Schizosaccharomyces pombe: one gene and its partner. The gene in region 2 interacts genetically with the main gene of each other region. Each region holds a gene or a part of one and is shown on either strand. Other genes may lie near its edges.

Region 1 (7,808 bases), 4.5 Mb from region 2:
ATCGTCTCTCTCATATAAAGTTGTCAAACGCGCATCGCCCATTGTTTCAACAAGTTCTCTTAAGTAACTTTATGTATTCATACTTAGATTTAATTTCTCGAATTAGCTCAAATCGCCCGATGAATAATGTACAACAGTCTACTGCTAAACCAATACGCAAAGACATTAATGGACAACAAAGGCGTTCAGAGTTTTCAGCAGAAAATGTAAAAAACGAGCTGGAGAATCTCAGTTATCAATTTGGAGATCAGCGTAAGCGAAATCTTAATAGGAAAGGATCGACTATTCATACCGTTTCTCAAAATATTCAAAAAGTTTCAAAGAATGCTAAATAATCATTTTACCCTACTGCTATTCGTTGGTCTAACATTTTTCCTCATTGGTTAATTATTAGCATTTGGCGACTTTTGTTATATGTTACAGGGTCTTCATTGTCTTTAAAAATTTGTATCTTGTTCACCAACACTTTCTGGAAGCAGGTGGTTATTTATTTTCATGAGTTAAATATAAAATTCTTACTCAATGCATAAGTTTCTAATGAATTTCATTCGCTATGCTACTTTACATTGTAAGGGGAGTACGAAGTTACCCATTCTATAATAAATTACCAATTCTTTTTCGCTTTATATTTGTACATAGCCTCTATTTTGAAGTAATCATAGAACGCTACTGAAGTGCTATACAATAACTTTTTTTTTCTAAACAATGCTTAGGATAAATGAAAACTGCCCTGTCCTTCTAAAATAGCCTTAGAAAGTCGACTTCCTAAAACCTCACTTGAAGAATACTCAGGTAGTTTCAAATAATTCACACAAGTCATCACGCTTGGAAGATAATCATCAGGTACATAAGGAGGTTCATTTAAGCGCCTAACAACAGTTAACGGGGGATTTAGGCCAGCAAATCCTCCAATAGGAAGTTTTCGGCTTCCAGTAATAAATTGCAAAAAGTCTCTTTGTTCTTGAAAATTCATTTGACTCATCAAAGTCAGTAATCTCTGGATTGTAGGACTTTCCATGGTGTAACCGTGATCTGCTACTATAGATTTCATCAAGGTCGCGTAACTCCAATCCTCATCGACAGTACCGAATAGTGTGACCAATTCATGTTCTGTCAAAACTTGCAAAGAAGTATAAGGAAAAACGCTGGAAAACCCATTTTGAAATGCTTCTAATTGTTGTTGAACACCCTTTCCAACAGTATAGTCAATGACATAATTTAAATAATCACTCACATTGAATGTTGTCACAGGTGTACTAGCTCCATCAGGTATGAGTTCAATAGACGGAAATCCCGGTAGAGTAAAATCGAGATGAAGGTCTTCAAGCTTAATGTCCGTCTCGGCGTTTGTAGGGTTTTTACCCGGTATTAATTTCTCTAAATATCGTAACGAGTTAGCTAAGCCCTTGTCAACTTTCGCTACAGAGGAAATGGTTAAAGGTATATTTCGTGCAAAGAAAAGTGGATTAAACTGAATGCTTATTATCCTTGAATCATAAATCGAGCGTGCAACGAACTGTCCAAGAGCAAAGAACAACGAAATTTTTCTTTCATTTTCTGGACTGGACCCTAATAATGGAATAGGAGAAGGAAAAAGTCCAGACGCTTGGTACACAAATTTAGAGTTGGGTTGATCATTCCGCCAAATATCGAGAGAATTTAAGGTAAATTCTTTAGATACTGAAGTATAGAACTCCAAAGTGGGCCCAAGACCTGAACCAACTTCATCTTCGTATTCTATTTCAAGAATATTTTCAGAAGCCGCATAAGTTGCAAGCAAATGCAAAGCGTAATTAAATATTTTTTTCCGAGAAATACGAATTTTCTGGCGATGTAAGCTGACAAATTGAAGTATGGAGGAACTTTCGTTTTTTGATAGCTCAGGATTTCGGGACAAAAGAAAAGAAACGGATCTTGATAAACCAAAAGCAGTAGATTGCAATAAAAGATATCGAGTTTCAAACGGTACTAGGAATGGATATGCAGAGGTTAGTGATATACACCAGGAGGGTAAACAACCGTGAACAACAAGTTGTTGCTCTTCAAGTTGTCTATTCAATTTGGCACTCAACTTCCAGTTGCTAAAATCTGTAAGAATGTTTTCAATGTTGCCACGGAAATGTTTGTCAGGAAAGAGGGTATGAACGTCTCTAATCCCATAATACAAAATACTCAATAAATCCAATATTTCTCTAATATTTATAGAAAATCCCTCTGTTTCATTCTCATAGTTTAACTCCCCTTTCATATCATTGTGAATGCAATCAGGCTCACCATAAAATATTGGGACAGGAGTTTTCCAAAAATCATCGAGAGTATGATCGTCAGACAACTGTATATACTCATATAAAATTCTGAATATTGTTTTGTTTCGGGGTACCTTTTTACCCATCAAACTGAATACAAAATGTTCCTCGAAATGTGATGATGTCGAGGAGTCACGTCGCTCTGATGGCTCTGTTGTGTGATTAGGAGCATCTTGAGACATTGAGTCAGTATAGTCTCCTGAAGAGTTACGAGATGATCCACTCATTGACTCCCTCAAAGAACCGGCCTCGCGGAGGATTGAAAAACGACGTCCAGTTTCATTACGCACAGAAATGCGACTGTGAAGATAATTATCAAGTGTACGAATAGTAGCTAGCCCATTAATAGAAACGACAAGAGATCGGAAAGGTGGTCGAATTCTTGATCCCGGAAGAGCCATTAAACGAAGTTTAAACTGCCGCGAAAAAACATGATCTACCGCATTCTCAGTATCTGGGGGTAACGTTGAAAGTTGAAAATTCTCAACAGTTGAAAGTAGATTTTGCAAACAAAAGATAAGTGAAACTAAGGGACCATTACCAAATTCTAAAACTTCGCGTTCATCACATGTATTCATAGCTAACAAAAATGTTCGAAGAGATGAACTTCCAAATTTTTTGAGTGATAAAAGCAAATTATGAATTAATCCAGAATGAAGTAATTCATGACTAGTAATATTAGATCCTTCTTGAAATATTTTGGCTAGTTCTGAAAAAGATTCGTCTTGTTTGGTCTCACTTAATAAATGTTTAGACAATTGTTTAAGTTGAACTAATGTTGAGTTTTCTAAATTTTCTTCCTTATAATTAGAGAGAAACTCCTTGGCAAGGCTCTTTAACGTCGATAAATTCTTCAACTCCTCATGACGAGCAGCAGATTTGTTTTGTGAAAAGGAAATACTTAACTTTATTTTCTTCATGTCTGCATTGGTAGAGCGAACTAAAAATCCAACCTCCTGTACAACGCCTTCTCGTATAAATAACGAAGAATAAACATTAGGAAGTGCTTCAAGCAAAAATAGACACATTTCTAAAGCATCTCGCTTCAAGAAATTGTCAGATTTGCGTGAATTTAAAATTGAAGCAATGAATGATGATAAAGGAAGAGAACAAACTAAGCCATCTAAATTATTTTCCCTAATTGAACATAACATTTTCAATGCCGTAGTCACAGCTAACGATCGGATATCATGAAGGGGCACAATAAAATAAATGTCCATTACAACAGTTAAGAGTATACTGTTTAATCGATATAGTTTCGTGTTAAATTCATCAGACAAGTTACTAGTGTTTTTAGGAAGCAAAGAAGTTATAGCTCTTAACAAGTTTTCTATTAACTCGATCGGACAATAATACAAACTTTGCATTGTAATCATATCAGCCTGATGGGATGTATCAGAAGGTGGTATTCCACACAGCATTTCGTACATCACATCCGGCAAATTATGGTTAAGAAAAGGTAAAATCAAAGCAGAAGATGACTGACACAAAGATGATATTATATGTAATAGCTGCACTTGTAAGTGCATTGACTTATTTTGTGAGGTAGAATTAGTCAAAGCATTGACAATAGTGGTGATCAAATCCTCGGAAATTATCGTTTCAATTATGTTTGGTGAAGTTTTCAAAGATTCAATAATTGTCTCCAGGCAAGAATATGCCTTACTAACGACTATGGTATCAGAAGATTGTAGAATATTAGAAAGCAATGGAATAATTTCTTCTGCTGCGGAAGCATTGGATTCATCCAAAAACTTACAGCAATTAGCAGCCAGAGAAATAGCTGTCCGTTGAACTGTAGTATAAAAAAAATCAAAGTATTGGAGAGCAGCTAACATTCCTCTGTGTTCCAAAATACAAATACCAAAATCTTTAGAAAGCCGTTCTAAAACTCCTAAAGCTTGTTCAGCAATATCAATGTATTGCATATCAAACATTCTTTCACACAGAATGCGAACAATAGGACTATATGCTATTTTAGCCATACATAAAGGCAAAGCTTCCATCATATTAGATACACAGGTAGTACAGGATAGCATAAGTTGAATAGAGACTTCTCCGAAATCATAATTTCGCCCAGATAAGATTTCGGAAAAAGCCGCAATGTATGAATCGGTTGAAAACAATCCAACAAGCATATCTTCAGTACTCATAGCAAACGCTTCGGAAAGTTCTTGAAGAGAAAGCATTTGAACAGTAGGATCACTAAAATCCTTTATTCCTTCTAACAAGCGTCCAAATTGAACACCTGGAGCAGAAAATGCAGAACGAAAAGGATGAAAGGAACTATTGAAACGGTATGTCTGTGGACCTAAAGAAACATCTTCGTCATCAGAGTTCTCCAAATTACCGGAAGAAAGTATAGAAGACGCTAAACTTTGAAACTGATTACCTCTTCTGATTCTTCCCAGTTCATTTAACAAGTTAGTTTCATCGTATTCTTCGATTCCACTCATGTTCATGTTTTCTTGTTCATTAATAACAGCGGCTGAAGGATTAGGTGAACCGTTTTCGCTTCTTAACTCGTCATTTTCATTTTCATCTTCATCGTCTCCCTCATCATTGTTTTCATCATCGTCTTCTTCCTCCTCTTCATCAACATCTTCATCTCTTTCATAACTTTCACTGCCACTACTGGATTCATCGTCTTTGTACTCGTTATTATTTATATCATCATCAGTTCCATCATTAGTATCATCATAGACGTGGTCATCTTGGTCATTATATTGGGACGAATCAGTAGAAGTATGATAGTTGCTGGAGTCAGAATACGTAGTTTCATAAGAGTTTGAATTCCCAAACTTGGTTAAGCCACTTTTGTCATTAAAAGTTATGTTCTTTGGTTCCATAACTGATTTATCAAATGGAATGATATCAACTTCCGCCTTTTTGTCTAATGCAGAATCAACCGAAGCATTGCTTAAAACGCGTTCATAAGAATTCAGTATATCCGATTGCTTATTAAGAGGCAACACACCTTTATCGGATTTCACTAACTGGGGTTTACCTTTGAGCTTTTCATTAAAGGATTTAAAGACCCTAGTTTTGCTCGTTGTAAGTGGTTGTTCAAGCAATTCGGAAAAATCATGCCGCATATTTAAATGCCTTCCAAATTCCACACTTTTACTAGAAGGTGGTTCAGAAATTTTGGCAGATACCTCCATTTTTAAAAAATGTTTAGTTGCTCTGCGTTTCTTTGTAAATGGCAATTCTTCAGAAGTGTTTAATCTATGTTTGTTGTCGGACTTACTTCGTAGGTTTGGTATAAACACAGGTGAGTTGGTTATAGATTCACTATGTATTAAATTCGGTAAATTCGGAGTATTCGTATACGCTTGAACAGACATGAAATAACAAAATGTCGCTCAGAAAGGCTAATTTAATAAACAAAATTTGGAAGCCTTTCGGCGAGCGATTGGAGTGATTGTTAATTACAATCCAACAAAACAATCAAGTAATTTCTGAACCAAGGAGACAAAATCCCAGTTTTAATTTGATCCTTCTATGATCTCTTGTTTAAGGCGGAATGTGCTGTTGACATAGGGAGATGGCAAAAGCGTCGACAACAAGGGCGCACCATTATGTTGCCGTAGTATGTGTTATAGTAATACGTTATTACTCTAAGTACTATTGTTTTTTTCTGTCTTTTACTGTCATTAAATATTTTTAAATTTGTTTTTTATTTGCAAGATGCTGTATTTTATTTATTGATTCAGCTTTGATTCACACTCGTTAAACGTACTTTTGTAGTCGATCGATTGTGTTTTTACAAGCATAATTGACGATAGTGAAATGAGATGCTCACTTAGTATTCACTAACATACATCAGTTATATAATATTAAGTTTACATTCAAATTGTTTTGTACAGTCTAGCGGGTACGAACTCTTGAACATGGAGCGGACGTAATGAAATAGTTTCTAAAACTTTTAACAATTATTCAACAACACGGTGGGTCTAGTTTTTGCCCTAGGTAGAAATTTACTTGAACGTCGTGAAATTCTTTCGTAACTATTTCACGAAAAAAATAAACACAAAACAAAAAGATTTAAAATATGAACATACAGCGAAAAACAAGTTGTAGCTGCGCAATTACATGCACGAAAGGGTAATATTTGCGGAAAGTTAAATAATCTATCTTCTATTTTCAAAACCAGGTTGTTCGCTCAAATTCTTTTGAAGCACTAAACGGCGCAATCCGAAAAACGATAGATAATCGAAAGCTTCATCAACTACAGGAGTAAAGTCTTTTCTTTCAAAAGCCTTCAACATTGGGTCGGTTGAATAAACTCGTGCTGAGACCACGTCAGCACCCATCTCCTTCGCCTCACGAAGTGCTGAATCTAGGAGATCAAACGCATACTGATAAAATTTAGGAATGACAGTCCAGTGGACAATAGTTGGTGTGTTTTGGTATGCACCAGGAGCATTTGCAGGCAAGATACCTATAATACCAATAACTCGTTCTTTGTCAATGCGGGCCATATAAAAATGTTTAAGATTCTCTTCAGCCAAGCAGCCGTCAGGTTGATTGTCTTCAGTGCTAATCTTTGCATACACATTTCTACAGGGAAATTCAATCAACGTCAAAAAGACAGCGCTAACCAATATTAATAAAACAAAAGTTCGTAATTTTGTATTTCCTTCTACCATGTTTGTTAAGCGATATATCCCCATAAACACCAAACCAAAAACCGCAAGATACAACGGGTGCCAAAAGATTTTTTGAGAGAGATTTCTCGATTGACCGTTCAACGCATTCATGGCAATCGATCGAATACTCGACAGCTCCGCAAGGGTGGGACGACGAATATCAATTCTTTTACGTTGCACATTCGACATTTTTATGTAATTAAATATTCTTTTTTGCTAATCTTTTTAAAATTTATTGTCACAATATTTCTTTTACAATTACCTTCTACTGTGAAATTTAAGAAGATGGAGGTTCGTAAGTGGAGTAGGTAAGAATGAAGCCATTATACCACCATAGATTTACCCAACCCTTGGTTGTTTCAGTCAATTTTTGCGAATTGTAATTTCATACAACTAGAATTTGATCAAATCTACCCTCTTATTAAATGATTGAGATTATTGATTCTATTGATAAATCACATTTAGGGTCAACTAGCTTTTAAAATGTTTTTAGGAATAGAAAAGAATATTGTGACGATCGAAGTAACATTTCTAGCTGAAATAACAATTGGATTTATAAGCTATATCTTCAGTTACTAAATAATTAGTTTCTACAATTTTTTTAGGCTTGAATATTAAATCTTTAAATAATTCCTAGGATAAAAAGAGTATAATGTATACATAGGAACAGAATATACATTTAAAAAAAATGGCAATTGAGTAGAGAAATAGGGAAGGTAATAATGCATCGATTAGATTGCATAACAAACTTTACATGAATCCGAAAACCAAGGATAGGAAATCCATTTACAGTATTTTTCACTATATAAATTAAAGCTTCATAGATTACACTACTTTCAGCGTGCCTATT
Region 2 (3,612 bases):
AAGGAGAGATTTATATACTAGTCAAATTTAAACAGCTGAGATTGCTTTAGTCATCGCGTTGTTCCAGATCGTGAACGAAAACACCGATTCGCTCGCTAAAGTAGATACGAAATGTCCAGCAGATTTTGCTTAATTAAAACATAAATATTGATGAGCAAGAGCAGCTCGTTATAAATCAGACCTCCAAGGATTTTATCAACTACTCAACTGGTTATGTGAATAATGACTCAGTTAAATATTAAATGTACTCTAAACGGTTATCATACAATTTATTAGGAGGATTATACCAGCTAGTAGGAATTTAACCATTTCAAATTTAAACCTCTTTTTTTTCGTAACTTGGGGTCGTCATAATGAATAATTCTGTTTGTCGAATTTGAAGGGAAAAACACACTTGTTATCTAATTCCAAAAAAAAATAAAAAATTTTTAAAAATTAGTGGGGTTTTTTTTTCACCAATGTCTAATGATGTGTGATTTAAAAAAAAACGTGTGTAACGCATTGTAGTATTACTTACCTTTGCATGATTAAAAGTATATGTTGATATCGACTATTTAGAGGTAAGATTAAAAATAGCTAAACTTGATTTGTTATTTCAGTTTTGAGTTACATCAACCTAACTTACAGTACTGTGCGACACATTACCCTATGTTTCCCACTCTTAATCACCAAAAATTTTTTCCGAATGTCGCAAGACTCAGAATCGTTCATCCGGCAACTGTTTAAGGCATTTACGGATTTTAGTACTGACGTTGAGTCACTTAGAGGATTTTTAACGCCAGATTATCGACAGCTTGTCGATGGACGTGAATTGACACTTGACGATTTTATTTCTCATGCCAAAGCACTACGTACCCATCTTCATCGGCTCGACATCAACGTTCAACAAATTGTCTGTCAAGGTAACAAGGCTGCCACTGTGCATATTGCCCATGCGATACGTTCCTCTGGCGAGTCCAGCAGAATCAAAGTCATTGCATTTTACAGTTTTAAAGACGGGCGTATTTCTTTGATCGATGAGTTGACGTACGTTCTTGAAGGTGGTAATGCAGACAGAGAGCTTGGATCAGTACAATGACTTCAATTACCTTGACACTGCATTGCCCACGTTATTCAACGTCCATCAGGAACCGGACAAATTATTCAGAGTCCTTTTGAACTACTTCATAATTTTACAAATATTCAAGTGTAATTCGTAATATAATCAGTTTTATTCATCTTCGTTGTCTAAAACTTTTATGTGCTGCAATATTTGGGGAATCTCGATTTGACATAATGATCCCAGTGCCTCCAACATATGTTAATTGCGAAGTGTCCATTGTTAGTTCAAATAGCTGTGAATAATAAAATTTATATAATTTTGAAATTAAATTATTTTCCTGTTTTAAGGTGTTTATGGACTGCAATAATACAAGCTGACTTTAATAAAATATTCACCAATTTATTTAATAAATTTTTTTAATATCATATTTCAATGTTTGATGATACAAATCTTTTCTAATGTCATCGCTAACTTCGAAATTCTTTTTTTGTAATTATATAGTTTTATTATTATTATTATTTATTATTTCAAGTTTAAATAAGCAATCAACAAAAAAGTGCAATTATTCATGCTTGGTACACTTACTTTTTCAAATCAATAAATTTAAACTAACACATAGAATTTATGGCATTCTCTTGCGCTAAGCAGCAAGTTATTCATTTCACTGGAATGTGAAAAATCGCGATATCAGAATGTTGTGAGAGCATTAACAGCTAATTCTACTGCAACAGGCACAGCCGAGGATATGTTTACAGAGCATACAGCGTGATATTCTGCGAGAATATCATGAGTGATAACAAACACACAAATACATGTTATTCTATCTTATTTGAAGCGGGGCCCCACAGTAGATAGGTATATTCGCTTAAATCAATCGGAAAAGCAGTGTTTTTAACGCTTTAGTAGATAGGGGAAGGAAACCAACTGGCCGACAGACGTTATAAATTAACTATCCAACATGAAAGCCTTTCATTCACATGGGTAGCAATCGTCTTCTATTTTGAAATTCAATTCTAACGTATTTTATTTTAACTTTTAGATGACAGAAATTTCAGAATTAGCTTCTTCTTCTCAAAAACCCGAGAAAACAAAATATAATTTACCTAAACCTTTACCCGCGTACTATCCACATCCAGGTTCCCCCTTGTATGCAGATAAAGAACTTTATGCTCGTATAGCCAATGCTCCTAAAAAATTAGTAGGAAGACATGTATGCCAACCCAGAACTGGCCTTGCTGTGAAGATTCCCCAAAAATCAATATTTAGCATTGTCGTACCTGAAGGCCCTCAGGTATGTGATTTAAATATTTGGAACTTTCACAATCCTCGAGAAAGATTTTGGGCAGCTAGAACTCGCCAAATACATTCTGCACATGTTTCTACTTATGACAGATTATGGTCAACACTACCGTATTTACGACCCCTAGTTACAATAATTGGGGATTCGCTTCAGGCACGACACGATGAATGGGGTGGACGAGTTCATGACACACTCGGTACAAGATGTGATCCATACATCGATAAATTAATTTCTGGGAAGGATAACGATTTGCATTGTCATTCCAATTTAACGAGAGCTATAATGCCATATGGCTTGACAGAGTTTGACGTCCATGATGTATTGAATGTCTTTCAAGTCACCGGGCTTAACGAATATGATCAATACTTCATGGAAACGTGTCCCGCAACTTCAAAAGATTATTTCCAATGTTTCGCAGAACAAGATTTATTGGTTGCAATTAGTGCTTGTCCTGGTGGAGACTTATCAAATTGGGGCTGGGGAGAGGACGCTACTGATGTTGAAAGCAGCAAAATGGTGGATTGCTGTAGGCCTTTGGCTATAGAAGTCTATGAGTTAGAAGATGAAGAGAACTCATTGAAAGGTTGGGTTCCTCCACAAGTTGTTAACTATACCGGAAACCATGGTCTCAAAGCACCATCAAGTTGATCTTTGCAACGGACTAGATGTCTAAAAGATATCAGTCAATATATATATGAAAAATGCTAGTTTTAGAAAGTTTACAATCGTTTTAGATAATTTAATTCTTTAGAAACAAATATTTATTCAGTACTTTAATGTAATTGATTTAAAATAGATAGGTTCCTCTGTCAAGAACACTGTACACTATCAAGCCATCGGGAACGACATAAGTATATTTTTTTAAATTCCATGGAACAAATCTTTTCTAATGAATTAAACTGAAGATCATGTTTAAAGCTTCAAAAAGTATTTTGTAGCGAGTAAAATTAGCAAACCTTTGCATTCTGTAACTATTACTCATTCAAAAAAAATATTCTTATCCTTGATTAAAAGATTGTATTCGGGTCAAGGACAGATTAAGTGATTCATCGTATAAAATTTTTTATCTCCTGTCGCATCAGCTAACTTCCTGGTTTTCTCTGATACTTAAATATAAGGAAACATTTTTCATTTTCCGCGCACTTTATTCCAGGCGTTTTTTTTTTTTTTATTATTCCACTATCTTTAAAACTTCTAAACAGCATCCGGCAAATACCTACTTTCTAAAATTCACGGGTTTGGACACACTAATACGAAGCTATAAACCGAT

The links. Genes that interact genetically often act in the same process or in processes that back each other up.
Region 1: mutations in SPOM_SPAC11D3.03C (region 2) and SPOM_SPAC12B10.01C together harm fitness more than expected from each alone (negative genetic interaction), as found in Schizosaccharomyces pombe (one large-scale study listed by BioGRID).

What each region holds. Positions count from the first base shown.
Region 1 is NC_003424.3:4,569,789-4,577,596, forward strand, and holds SPOM_SPAC12B10.01C (ubiquitin-protein ligase E3), read right to left. Parts: upstream 5,856-7,808; 5' UTR 5,654-5,855; coding exon 710-5,653; 3' UTR 517-709; downstream 1-516. Other genes in the region: zds family phosphatase type A regulator Zds1, read left to right, coding at 1-335; acetylase Sdg1, read right to left, coding at 6,440-7,147. UniProt on the Schizosaccharomyces pombe protein: E3 ubiquitin-protein ligase which accepts ubiquitin from an E2 ubiquitin-conjugating enzyme in the form of a thioester and then directly transfers the ubiquitin to targeted substrates.
Region 2 is NC_003424.3:110,383-113,994, reverse strand, and holds SPOM_SPAC11D3.03C (uncharacterized protein), read left to right. Parts: upstream 1-2,017; 5' UTR 2,018-2,081; coding exon 2,082-2,990; 3' UTR 2,991-3,091; downstream 3,092-3,612. Other genes in the region: SPOM_SPAC11D3.04C (polyketide cyclase SnoaL-like domain protein), read left to right, coding at 686-1,078.